Linked DNA regions of Sus scrofa. The protein of the gene in region 1 interacts with the protein of each later gene in a pairwise test. Links are inferred from orthologs where the notes say so. Each region holds a gene or a part of one and is shown on either strand. Other genes may lie near its edges.

The links. The genes of interacting proteins can lie anywhere in the genome.
Region 2: the proteins of WWP1 (region 1) and FAM189A2 interact in binary tests that used the Homo sapiens proteins (3 or more experiments, as listed by UniProt). The link is inferred for Sus scrofa from reciprocal best matches to the Homo sapiens genes WWP1 and ENTREP1.
Region 3: the proteins of WWP1 (region 1) and CPSF6 interact in binary tests that used the Homo sapiens proteins (3 or more experiments, as listed by UniProt). The link is inferred for Sus scrofa from reciprocal best matches to the Homo sapiens genes WWP1 and CPSF6.

The regions. Positions count from the first base shown.
Region 1 is NC_010446.5:50,415,054-50,419,077, reverse strand, and holds part of WWP1 (NEDD4-like E3 ubiquitin-protein ligase WWP1), read left to right. Parts: coding exon 1-11; intron 12-375; coding exon 376-460; intron 461-592; coding exon 593-721; intron 722-2,206; coding exon 2,207-2,282; intron 2,283-2,384; coding exon 2,385-2,456; intron 2,457-4,024. UniProt on the Homo sapiens protein: E3 ubiquitin-protein ligase which accepts ubiquitin from an E2 ubiquitin-conjugating enzyme in the form of a thioester and then directly transfers the ubiquitin to targeted substrates.
Region 2 is NC_010443.5:222,703,139-222,707,162, reverse strand, and holds part of FAM189A2 (protein FAM189A2), read right to left. Parts: intron 1,944-4,024; coding exon 1,815-1,943; intron 98-1,814; coding exon 1-97. UniProt on the Homo sapiens protein: Functions as an activator of the E3 ubiquitin protein ligase ITCH in the ubiquitination of the CXCL12-activated CXCR4 receptor. Thereby, triggers CXCR4 endocytosis and desensitization, negatively regulating the CXCL12/CXCR4 signaling pathway.
Region 3 is NC_010447.5:33,542,318-33,546,341, forward strand, and holds part of CPSF6 (cleavage and polyadenylation specificity factor subunit 6), read left to right. Parts: intron 1-2,332; coding exon 2,333-2,448; intron 2,449-3,355; coding exon 3,356-3,509; intron 3,510-4,024. UniProt on the Homo sapiens protein: Component of the cleavage factor Im (CFIm) complex that functions as an activator of the pre-mRNA 3'-end cleavage and polyadenylation processing required for the maturation of pre-mRNA into functional mRNAs.

The DNA.
Region 1 (4,024 bases):
TCCAGGCTGGGGTAAGCGAATTTTTTTTTTTTTTTTTTTTGGTCTTTTTGCCTTTTCTAGGGCCGCTTCCATGGCATATGGAGGTTCCTAGGCTAGGGGTCGGGAATCGGAGCCGTGGCCACCGGCCTACACCAGGGCCACAGCAACGCAGGATCCGAGCCGCGTCTGCAACCTTCACCACAGCTCACGGCAACACCGGGACCTTAACCCACTGAGCAAGGCCAGGGATCGAACCCACAACTTCATGGTTCCAAGTCGGATTCGTTAACCACTGCGCCACAATGGGAACTCCAAGCAAATATGGTTTTGGTAAAAGTATCTGAGATGTATATATAGCAAAAAGTTATTAAATGCTATGCTCACTCTGTTTTTTAGAAAAAAGAGTGGATTCAACAGACAGAGTTTACTTTGTGAATCATAACACAAAAACAACCCAGTGGGAGGATCCCAGAACCCAAGGGTACGTATGTACTACAGCCTTTCTTAGGTTATCTTACACATGTCTGAAGATAGAATTGCATTAAAAACCTTGATTCAGATGTTTTTAGCACCTGTAAAATGTTCACCTTATGATTATTGCATTATCTTTTAGCTTACAGAATGAAGAACCCCTGCCAGAAGGCTGGGAAATTAGGTATACCCGGGAAGGGGTTAGGTACTTTGTTGACCATAATACAAGAACAACAACATTCAAAGATCCTCGCAATGGCAAGTCATCTGTGTAAGTGAAGCTCTTATGTGCTGTGTAATGAGGACATAGGTTTCACTTCTAATTTAGCCTCAAGTTTAGCAATAAATTTTATTTTGTGTATCAAGAAAATTTACACAAGTAATACTCTACTATGCCTGTCTTTGCTCTACCTTCTTATAGAATGATTTTGCGGCACATAATTCCTTAGTAAGAACGATAGTAAATATTTACCTAGTGATTACTGTGTGCCAAGGATTCTTCTAAACATTTAGTGTAAATTAGCTCATTTTATCTTCCAACAATTCCTTGAGGTAGATACTGTTATTTTCCAAGTTCAGAAACTGAGGCTTAGGGAGCACAGCTAACTTATGCAAAATTATAGGCAAGTAATGGAAGTGGTTTCAGACCAAAGCAGTCTGTCCGAAGAGTCTGTGCTCTTAACAGGTGCATCATGCTGTTGCAACATCACAGAATGAGATGTTCAAGAAAATTTAATTTTCCAGGTAAAAATAGCTCAATTAAGCATTTGAAAGATCTCTCCTTAACTCCCTTATTACTCTTAGTGTAATGTCCTTGTATCAGTAAGTATGTAGAAATAGCCATAAAAACTTTTTGCAATTCCTACCGTTGCATCTGTCCACCTATCAGTATCTCTCTTCCCTCTTCATCCTGAAGATGAACTATCATCGTTCTTATCAAAGTCCAGTCCTCCCTGTGCTGGTGCACTAGCTCTTCCCCCTCTTTTCCAGTTCACTGTTCCAACAGTGATCGTCTTTATATTCTCCATCTTTCTCTGCTGAATTATTCTCAGCAGCTGTTAATTTCCTTAAATTAAAAGCAAACAGGGAGTTCCCTTCATGCTCAGTGGTTAACGAACCCAACTAGGATCCATGAGGATGGAGGTTCGATCCCTGGCCTTACTCAGTGGGTTAAGGATCTGGCGTTGCTGTGAGCTGTGGTGTAAATCACAGACTTGGCTTGGATCCTGAGTTGCTGTGACAGTGGTGTAGGCCAGCAGCTGCAGCTACGATTCAACCCCTAACCTGGGAACCTCCATATGCTGCATGCATGGCCTAAAAAGCAAAAAAAAAAAAAAAAAAAAAAAAAAGACAGACAAGCAAAACACCATAATTCTTCACCTTATGAATTCATTCAGTGAAAATTCATTTTTATTGCTACACTTTACAAGAAAACTACCTGAAAGAGCCTCTGCCCACCTGGGATTTGAAGTTTTCTTTGAAATAGTCAGTAGTTGACTTTAGTATTTTATTTAACTCACTTTTTTTTTTACAAAAGATCTATCCATACACATGCCCTCCCTCTTCATTTTTATATGTTGTGTGTCCTCATTACTTGAATCTCTGTTGGCCCACTAAATATATCTTTACTTCTCTCCCAGCAAGTAACTTTCCTGTACTCATTTTTTGGACCCTGGTACACTCCAGTCACATACTGAATATTAAATATCCAGCTTTATTATGAATTATTATATAGTTTGTTTTTGTTTTTCTTTAGAACTAAAGGTGGCCCACAGATTGCTTATGAACGCAGCTTTAGGTGGAAACTTGCTCACTTCCGTTATTTGTGCCAGGTACTACGGTGGTAAATAAATCTTATGTTCATAATCATTTAGTTTTATCTTTACACAGTACATGCACTGTAACTTACATTACAATGTTATTTTTCTTTGTAGTCTAATGCACTACCCAGTCATGTAAAGATCAATGTGTCCCGGCAGACATTGTTCGAAGATTCCTTCCAACAGGTAAGAACGATTTTATCAGAATAAAATAGTACAGTTAGCCTCTGTATCTGCAGCTACCACATCCGTGGATTCAGCCAACTGTGGATAGAAACTATTCTGGGGTGGGGACAGACGGGACTCCAGAAAGTTTCTAAAGGCTAAATTTGAATTTGCTGCAGCCAGCAAATTCAGGCATACCTCATTTTCTTGCACTTTGCTTTTATGTCGCTTTTGCAGATAGTGTTTTTTACAGATTGAAAGTTGTGGCAACCTTGTATTGAGCAAGTCTCTTGGCACCGTTTTTCCAGCAGGATGTGCTCACTTGGTGTCCCTGTGTCACATTTTTGTGATTCTTGAATATTTCAGACTTCATTATTAAATTTATATATTGATCTGTGATCAGTAATCTTTGATGTATACTATTGCAAAAAGATTACAACTTTCTCAGATGATGGTTAGCATTTTTTTAAATAATAAAATATCTTTTAATAAAGGTATGTATGTCTTTTTAGACATAATGCTAAACTTAATAGACTACATAGACTTATTAAGACTGTCTAGACTATTAAGTCGAGACTTAATAGACTACAGTATGATATAAATATAACTTCTACTCACACTGGGAAACCACAAAATTCATGTAATTTGATTTATTGTGGTATTCTCTTTATTGTAGTGGTCTGGAACCAAACCTGTAATATCCCCAAGGTATCCCTATGTTTATGTAGTATTTATATTGCATTACTTATTATACATAATTGAGAAATAATTTAAAGTATATGGGAAGATAGGAGTTCCTGTCGTGATTCAGTGGTGGTTGCGGGTTCAATCCCTGGCCTTGCTCAGTGGATTAAGGATCCAGCGTTGCTGTGAGCTGTGGTGTAGGTCGCAGACGCAGCTCAGATCCCATGTTGCTGTGGCTCCGGTGTAGGCCGGTGGCTACAGCTCCAATTAGACCCCTAGCCTGGGAACCTCCATATGCCGCGGGAGCAGCCCTAGAAAAGGCAAAAAGACAAAAAAAAAAAAAAAAAAAAAAAGCGTATGGGAAGATGTACATAGCTTATATTACTTGACTGTCTTTGGATTTTAGTATCTGTGGGGGTGTCCTGGAACCAACCTACCTTGGATATTGAGGGAAGATGTACAACTTGTCTCATTGTATTCTGTATATCCAAAGGGAGTTTTAGAATTTAGAAATTTGAAACCACTCAGAACACAGCTCTATCAATGACTATCATTTACTGTGTGTTCATTATAGTAATAGTCATAATAAATCCTATCATGTGTTGAGTGACTGCCATATGCTCGGCACTGGCATCTTATTTTCTTTTATTTATCTATATAGTCTTTTTATGGTCGCACCCACGGCGTATAATGTTCCCAGGCTAGGGGTAGAATTGGAGCTACAGCTCCCGACCTATACCACAGCCATAGCAATGTGGGATCCGAGCTGTGTCTGTGACCTACACCAAAGCTCACAGCAACACCGGATCCTTAACCTACTGAGCAAGGTCAGGGATCTAACCCGCTTCCTCATGGATGCTGATCGGGTTTGTTACCCTGAGCCCCGATGGGAACTCTGGCACTGG
Region 2 (4,024 bases), on another chromosome or scaffold:
TTCTGGCTGCAAAGATCTGGAGGTAGCGGAGGGCGGCTGCCACCAAGCAGACAGTGGTAGTCAGGGCGTTCAAGGCACACAGGGCGAAAAGCACTTTCTGGAACCAGGAAACAATGATGCCCCTGAGTACCTCATAGCTGATGACCAGAATGCAACATTAAAACTTTAAAAAAGAGTAAGAGTGCTGTCCCACTAAGTCAATTCTCATGAGAAAACGTATGTAAAGGCCTTAGATGATGTTTGGCTCATGCTACATGCCAAACAAATGCTGATTACTATTAAGGCTCTCACTGGAGTTTCCTTGTGGTGCAGCAGGTTAGGGATTGGGCATTACCACTGCAGTGGCTTGGATCGCTACAGTGGCATGGGTTTTATCCCTGGCCTGGGAAATTCCACACGCTATAGGCATGGCCAAAAAAAAAAAAAAAAAAAAAAAAAAAAGGAAGAAAAGGAAAAGAAAAACACTCTCACACAATGCTGTGTACTTCTTAATTTTAAAAACATCTTCGGTACTATTGAAATCTCTTACATTTTTAAGATAATATCTTTGCAACTAAAAACAGAACTTATCTTAGAAGCTTTCCGTGCCAGGCAGACCTGACGTTACCATATTTCTTTTTGCCAGCATCAGAATCCTGTCTGGAAACGCTTTTTCCAGGCAAGCGCTGTTTCTCTTCTGAAGTCAGTGTCCTCAGTGATACCGATTCCCAATCTCCCCGCCCTCCTACCCACGGTCCCCCACCAGGACAGCACAGCTGCTTAATTTGTGGCCACTGATTCTATTTCAGGAGTCACTGGCAGAGCTGCTCCAGGCACCCAACTAGGACAACACAGGGGGCAGGTCGGCCCGAGTGTAAACAGGGCTTCTCTCCTCTAAACACATGTCTCAAAATAGCAGCAAAGCCAATTCCAAAAGTTTCTGTTGCCACAGTCGAGGCTCCTTAGTGGGGCTTTCCTCAAGCAAATTCTGGCTCAGAGAAAGTCTGGGGGTGACTCAGCTGCCAAAAATCCAGAAGCCAAAGAAGGAAGGTCTTTTTTATATCCTCCATGACCCAAAGAGTTGGGAGCTTCTCTCTCTTTTGCTGAGATTCTTCTTCCACACAAAATAGAAACCCAGAACAAAGATCAAAGAAAGCCATCAATGATGGACCATCCAAATGCTATTATCTCAGCAACTGATCCTGTCACTCACTTAGCTAACAGAGCTTAAGTCAGGACACCGCTTTTATCCAATTCCCTAATAAAGGTCAATTTTGTACATCTCTTGAGCTAGCATCATTTGTTCTTAATCTCTTTTGCCTATTAAATGAGAGGTAATGTCTTGAATTTCTCATGTATTTTCTGGCCAATGCATCTCCTTAGTCTACGTGGCAGCACTCGACAGCCCACAGGACTCATTTAAGCCAACAGAGGAGCATAGGAACAATGACCAGTGGACATCTACTTTGCAGGTTCTGCTGAACCTACATCATATACGAGTAGCTATATCATGGATGGGTAGGTGGGTATGTGTGTGTGTCTGAATATGTATATTATATACCCACACATATACATATGTACATATTTAGGCTCCTTTACATTTTTCACTAGCTTATAATTCTTGAACACAAAGAAGCCATCCCATCATAATTTAAGAGACACACAATAACCTGGTTCCTTCTGCTCTCAATTCTGTCTCTGGATCACTGATGAGGGGTTTGCTCCTATCTGCTTTCAGCAGCATTATTTGAAGAGGAATTATTTCAGGGAGTGCTGCCTTCTTTGGGGTCTCTGTGGTGTATTTATTGAGCAGGAGTGAGGTCCATTCCAGATACCTTAAGTAGAAGGTGAACAGCACTACAAGGCTGAACTGGGAAGAGCTTCAAAGCATTTTCTTTGTCTGTGCATTTGGCTGGTTGATATTCTTCACAACAGAAGCAAATCTTGCCTTCACCTAAGTCCACCTTCAAAGGGAAAAGGAAGAACAATAACTTAATTATTAAGTAAAAATACACAGGCCACACCATGGAGCACCAATTACTACAGAATGAGATATGGTAAGGTTCAGTGTCGGGCAGTGTCTACATCGGTCAGGATACTCTAGGGTATGCTATGGCAACAACCAGCCCCCAAGTTCCAGTGGCTTAGCCAACCAAGGCTATTTCTTGACTATGCTACATGTCCAGTGCAGGTCAGCAGAGGGCTCTGCTCATCACATTCCCTTAATAGGGCATCCACTTTCTGAGGACTGATGATGACTATGCTAGACACATGGAAAGCACATGAGCTGAACAACTGTACTTAAAGCAGGGCTGCTAGGTCAAAAGCTCAGTTAAATCTGAATTCAGATAAACAACAGGAGTTCCCGTCGTGGCGCGGTGGTTAACGAATCCGACTAGGAACCATGACGTTGAGGGTTCGGTCCCTGCCCTTGCTCAGTGGGTTAACGATCTGGCGTTGCCGTGAGCTGTGGTGTGGGTTGCAGACGCGGCTCGGATCCCGCGTTGCTGTGGCTCTGGCGTAGGCCAGTGGCTACAGCTCTGATTTGACCCCTAGCCTGGGAATCTCCATATGCCACGGGAGCGGCCCAAGAAATAGCAAAAAGAGAAAAAATAAATAAATAAATAAACAACAGATCATTCCTTAGCATTAGTATGTCACAAATATTGCATGAGACATGTTTACAGTAAAAACAAAAACAAAAACAAAAACAAACCAATTGGCTGTTTGTTCGAAATTCAAATTTCAATGGGTGTCTTGTGTTGCTAAATCCAGTCACCCTAGCTTGAATCTTCCTCTTGGAAATGACACTCATCACACGACCTCAATTTCATTTCCAAAGCAAATCATATGGTTCCGCCTAACTCCAAGAAGGCAAGGAAGTTTACTCTACCAAGTGCCTGTAAAAAGCACAAGATCTCTTTGGTTAACAGTAGTCCTAAACCATGCAGGCTTAAAGAAATCTCTTAGTTTGCATCTTCATTGTGTTCATAGATTGTGTAGAAGTCTTATTTGAAATGATAAGATCACTTCAAATATATATATATATGTGTGTGTGTGTATATATATATATACACACACACATATATATATGTGTATATATATATTTGTCTTTTGTCTTTTCAGGGCCGCACCGGCAGCATATGCAGGTTCCCAGGCTAGGGGTCTGATGGGAGCTATAGCTGCCAACCTACACCAGAGCCACAGCAACTCAGGATCCAAGCCGAGTCTATGATCTACTCCACAGCTCACGGCAACACCAGATCCTTAACCCACTGAGCGAGGCCAGGGATGGAACCTGCAATCTCATGCTTCCTAGTCAGATTTGCCGCTGCATCACGATGGGAACTCCATCATACATATTTTTAATGAGATGCTTTGCAAACTTTGGGTCATGTTTCCAAGTTTCCATTGAGTCAGGTTGTGGACATATGTACTACCTGATTTTGGCTAATAAGACCCCTAATTTGGGAGCAGAAGTTCATTCTTACTTGCTCTGTGGCTTGAGCTGATGAAGTTGGCAGTTCTATGTTGGCTAAAAGGAAAGGCCACACTTCTTTCATATTTGTTAAATTAAACAGGTGCCTTTGACTTCACTAGCTGCAAAATTCTTCGGGAATCTTTAAGAATGACTGAACATCTACAATGTTTTAGTTACTTAACAGAAAAAAACTCTTTTTTTCTGACTGAATTAAGACTCTTAACCTCTAAACATAGTGATAAATTTCATGGCATTCTTCCAACTTAGGAAGAACCTTAGTTCCTTCTAATACAAGTTGACTAGGAAGCCAAGTGGAAAAAACTCATACTGCTTACTGATTTACACAGCATTTTTTGGTTTGGCTTTCTTTTTCCTTTGAGCTGAAATTTACACACACACACACACACAATTTACATACACAACTCATAAGCATATCACTCAAGGAATTGTGAACCATACCTATATCCATGGAACTCAAACCCACATCAACGCACAGAACATAACATCCCTGGAGAAGATTCCATCATGTCCCTACCCCACCAATCCCTGCCCACACCCTCCTAA
Region 3 (4,024 bases), on another chromosome or scaffold:
ATTGTTTTCTCTTAGAAGAAACAGTATGATACAATGAAAAACGGGTACTGAGCGGGGTTGGAAATAATCCAGTTCTGCCACTTATACAGCCATGTGATTTTAGGGCAAGTTACTTTGTTTCCATCATTTTTTAAGTTAAAAAAGGTGAATAAAGATAATTTAAGTGAGCAAATGAGATCCTTAAGCTATTTTTAAGATTTAAAAGTCAATCTCATTTACCACTGATGACACTCAAGTTTTTTAATTGTTTTAGGAATTAGAATTAGATGGATACTATTGATTATCTCATCCTCATTAGGAGTCCTAAGCAAAATTATTAACTTTAAATTAAAATGGGAACATTAAGTAATTTATAAGCATATTCGGGTAGACAGACAATTGTGAAATACAGGCTTTGTGGAAATTAAAATGGCAATCCTTCGAGAAAAGCTGCATGAAATCATGGTGGAACTAAGTGATCCTTAAATCCCCTTTCAGAGTAGGTGTTTTCTTTCTTTCTTTATTTGGCCGAACCTGGGACTTGTGGAAGTTCCTGGGCCAGGGATCCAACCCACACTACAGCAGCCACCCTAGCCCCTGCAGTGACAACACTGGATCCTTAACCTACTGCGCCACAAGGGAACTCCTCAAAGTAGTTTTAAAGCTGTGCATATTCAATTCATAATCTGGAGAGCTTTGTTCTTAATCTCTAAGAAGTATTTGAATTTGCCCCCTTCATTTTCTTTTGAGTTTTATCATTTGTTTTTGAATTCTTTAATTATCCCTATTGAACTACTTTGTATTTCATTTTGTCTGATGATGTCATGCAAGGGTGGATTTGAGCATCTGCCTAATTCCATATAATTGCACAGGGCCAGGAAAATAAATTTGATGTTGTAAACAAAATCTACTGACAGTTATCTATCCATAGAGGTTGTGTCTTTATGACTACCGAAAAGGCTAGTTTTCTTTTGAAAAGTGATGTAACTATGAGGCTAGCACAACTTTTCTTCTGTTCAGTTTAGTTCCAGTGAGCCCAGTGAGCAGCTGCTTATCAAGTGTTCACCCATAGTGTTTAGGAGCAGGTTAGGTGGCTTGGTTTGACAGTTTAAAACTTGAGTCTGATATGCTTTTTCTGGCATGATAGAATTGCTGCAGTATTAGGTTTTCTAAAAATATGCATATTTGTGTGTGTATATAGGTATTATTAAGTAGTTTTTAATTGAAAATTAGAGAAAACTGATTATCTTACATGGGATTTTTTTAGAGGATAAGATGGGTATGAGTCACAGAATTTGCTTGAAATTATACATGGATTTTGAACAACTTGTAAATTAAAATTTGGGGAATAATAATATCTTATAAACATGCCAAAGGTTATATTAGTGATTTCCTCATTTCATTGGAATGAACTACTACTGCTTACCCTAATCTAACATCCTACCAAGTAACTAATAACTAAGATGGCAAAAAGTTTACCTTTGCCTGTACAATATATGTAGTCACCTTGTTTGTTTGTTTTTTTGTTTGTTTGTTTGTTTGTTCGGTCTTTTTAGGGCTGCACCCGCAGCAGTATACAGAGGTTCCCAGGCTAGGGGTCGAATCAGAGCTGTAGATGCTGCCCTATACCACAGCTCACAGCAGTGCCAGATCCTTAACCCACAGAGTGAGGTGAGGGATGGAACCTGCATCCTCATGGATACCAGTCAGATTCGTTTTCGCTGAGCCACGACAGGAACTCCTGAAGTCCCAATTTTTAAAGTTGTCCAGCAGCTTTAGAAAATCCTGGGATTTTTAGTAATATTTTTCAACAGAAAAAGTTCTTAGTACTTTTTATTTGCCAGATATTCTTCTAGGGATTCAGTGGCAAACAAGATCTAAGATCTTGTCCCTCCTGAAATTTTATTAAACACACTTATTATCCTGTTGTAAGTTGGGACCCTGTACGTAGAAGATCTAAGCATAAGTGAAACTGAATTCCCACTCTTGATCGTATAGGACTGTGTTTTTTGCATTCAGCATTTTTTGTTCACATATACAGAGGGGGAGAGAGAGAGACATCAGAACAATTTATATATATTTTTGTATGACTCTGAGCAATAGTATATTGTAGGTATGTAAATACGTCATTTCTGGTCTAAGTTGCTGCTTTTGTTTCAACTGAAAGATAATGGCGTAAGGGAATTTTGCATAGACTTTCTCTTTGTAGGAAAGCTAGCATATTTGAATCTGAAAAAGTAACTGCTAGCCCTAAAGCACTTGTCAAAAGCAACTGTTTGAATTGTTTCATGATGTTATGGCTGATTTATAAAATCTTTTGAGTATGATTTAAGGTTTATTTTGATTTTTATAGGGAAATGGATACCGCACGAACGCCATTGAGTGAAGCTGAGTTTGAAGAAATCATGAATAGAAATAGGGCAATCTCAAGCAGCGCTATTTCAAGGGCTGTGTCTGATGCCAGTGCTGGTTTGTATAGTTCTTTCTGTATTAATGACTTGAAAACTTCTTTTATTCTTTTTAGGTCCGCACCTGCAACATGTGTAACTTCCAGGCTAGGGGTCAAATCAGAGCTGCAACTGCCAGCCTGCACCACAGCTTGTGGCAACACCAGATCCTTAACCCTCTAAGCAAGGCCCACAATTGAGCCCATATCCTCATGGATACTAGTCAGGTTCTTAACCCAGCGAGCCACAATAGGAATTACTTAAAACTCAAGTGCAGTCTTGAAGATGGGTTATCTACATGTGGTAGTAATTATTTTTATTTCCAGATCATTATCTGTACTTTTTTAAAAGGCATTGAAGAATTCAGCAGGTTAAGGACACAGCATTGTCTCTGTGAGGATGCTGGTTTGATCCCTGACCTCATTTAGTGAGTTAAGGGTCCAGCATTGCCATAACTGCGGCATGGGTCACAGATGTGACTGTGATCCAGTATTGCTGTGGTGTAGGCCATAGCTGCATCTCTGATTCAGCCCCAGCCCAGGAACTCCATATGCTTCAGATGCAGTCTGGAAAAAGGCATAGGAGGAAGCTTTATGTCACAGTAATGGAAAGGCCCTAATTTTAAATTTTTTAGGTATAGATTTAAATCTTAGCCTGACATTTAATGGTTCAGGGACCTTAAGGCAGCTCATTAATTCTCATGTTTGCTAAGTGATAACTTGTTTCACACAGCTACAATAGTAACAAATTGTATTAATTTCATGTGCATTAAAGCCTTTTCCAAATTTTGAAACACAAAAAATTTAGGTATCTTCTACAGTCTATTTGCAGCGGCATTACTTTTGTAAAATAATTAACCTCGAATAACTGTGTGGTATTTTGAAAATAATTTATTTGACTTCAACCTCTCTCCTTCTGCTTGCTTACAGGTGATTATGGGAGTGCTATTGAGACATTGGTAACTGCAATTTCTTTAATTAAACAGTCCAAAGTATCTGCTGATGATCGTTGCAAAGTACTTATTAGCTCTTTGCAAGATTGCCTTCATGGAATTGAATCCAAGTCTTATGGTTCTGGATCAAGGTAAAACTTTCCTGTCTCATGTCTGTTTAAAACTTCTACTTTCCAAGTAGAAGAAAATGTTGCGCTTGGGCCTTTATAGGCCTTAGATTTTACTTATTACTATTAACTTAGCAGCTAGAGTGATTTTGTTGTTGTTATTTAAGCTCTAAATCAAATGTCAAATGTTTGCTTGCTTAAAACCCTTCAAAGCCTTCCAGTTATTCTTAGAATAAGACTAAATATTGAAATGCTTTGTGATATAGTCCCTGCCTATCTTTTCAGCCTCATTGTATCCCTCTCCCCTTGCTCACTATTCTCTAGCCATATTGATTTCCTTTCTCTTCCTCTTGAACATTAAGCACTTGACCCACCTCACTGGTTTTGTACTTGGTATTTCTTCTGCTGAGATCCCTTTTCCCTGACTCTTCACATAGCTGTCTCCTTATCTTTCATGCTTCAGCTCAATTTAACTTGCTAGGTTGGGTCTTCTCCCACTTAATTCTGTCATGCTTTATTTCTTTTGTAATACTGTAATG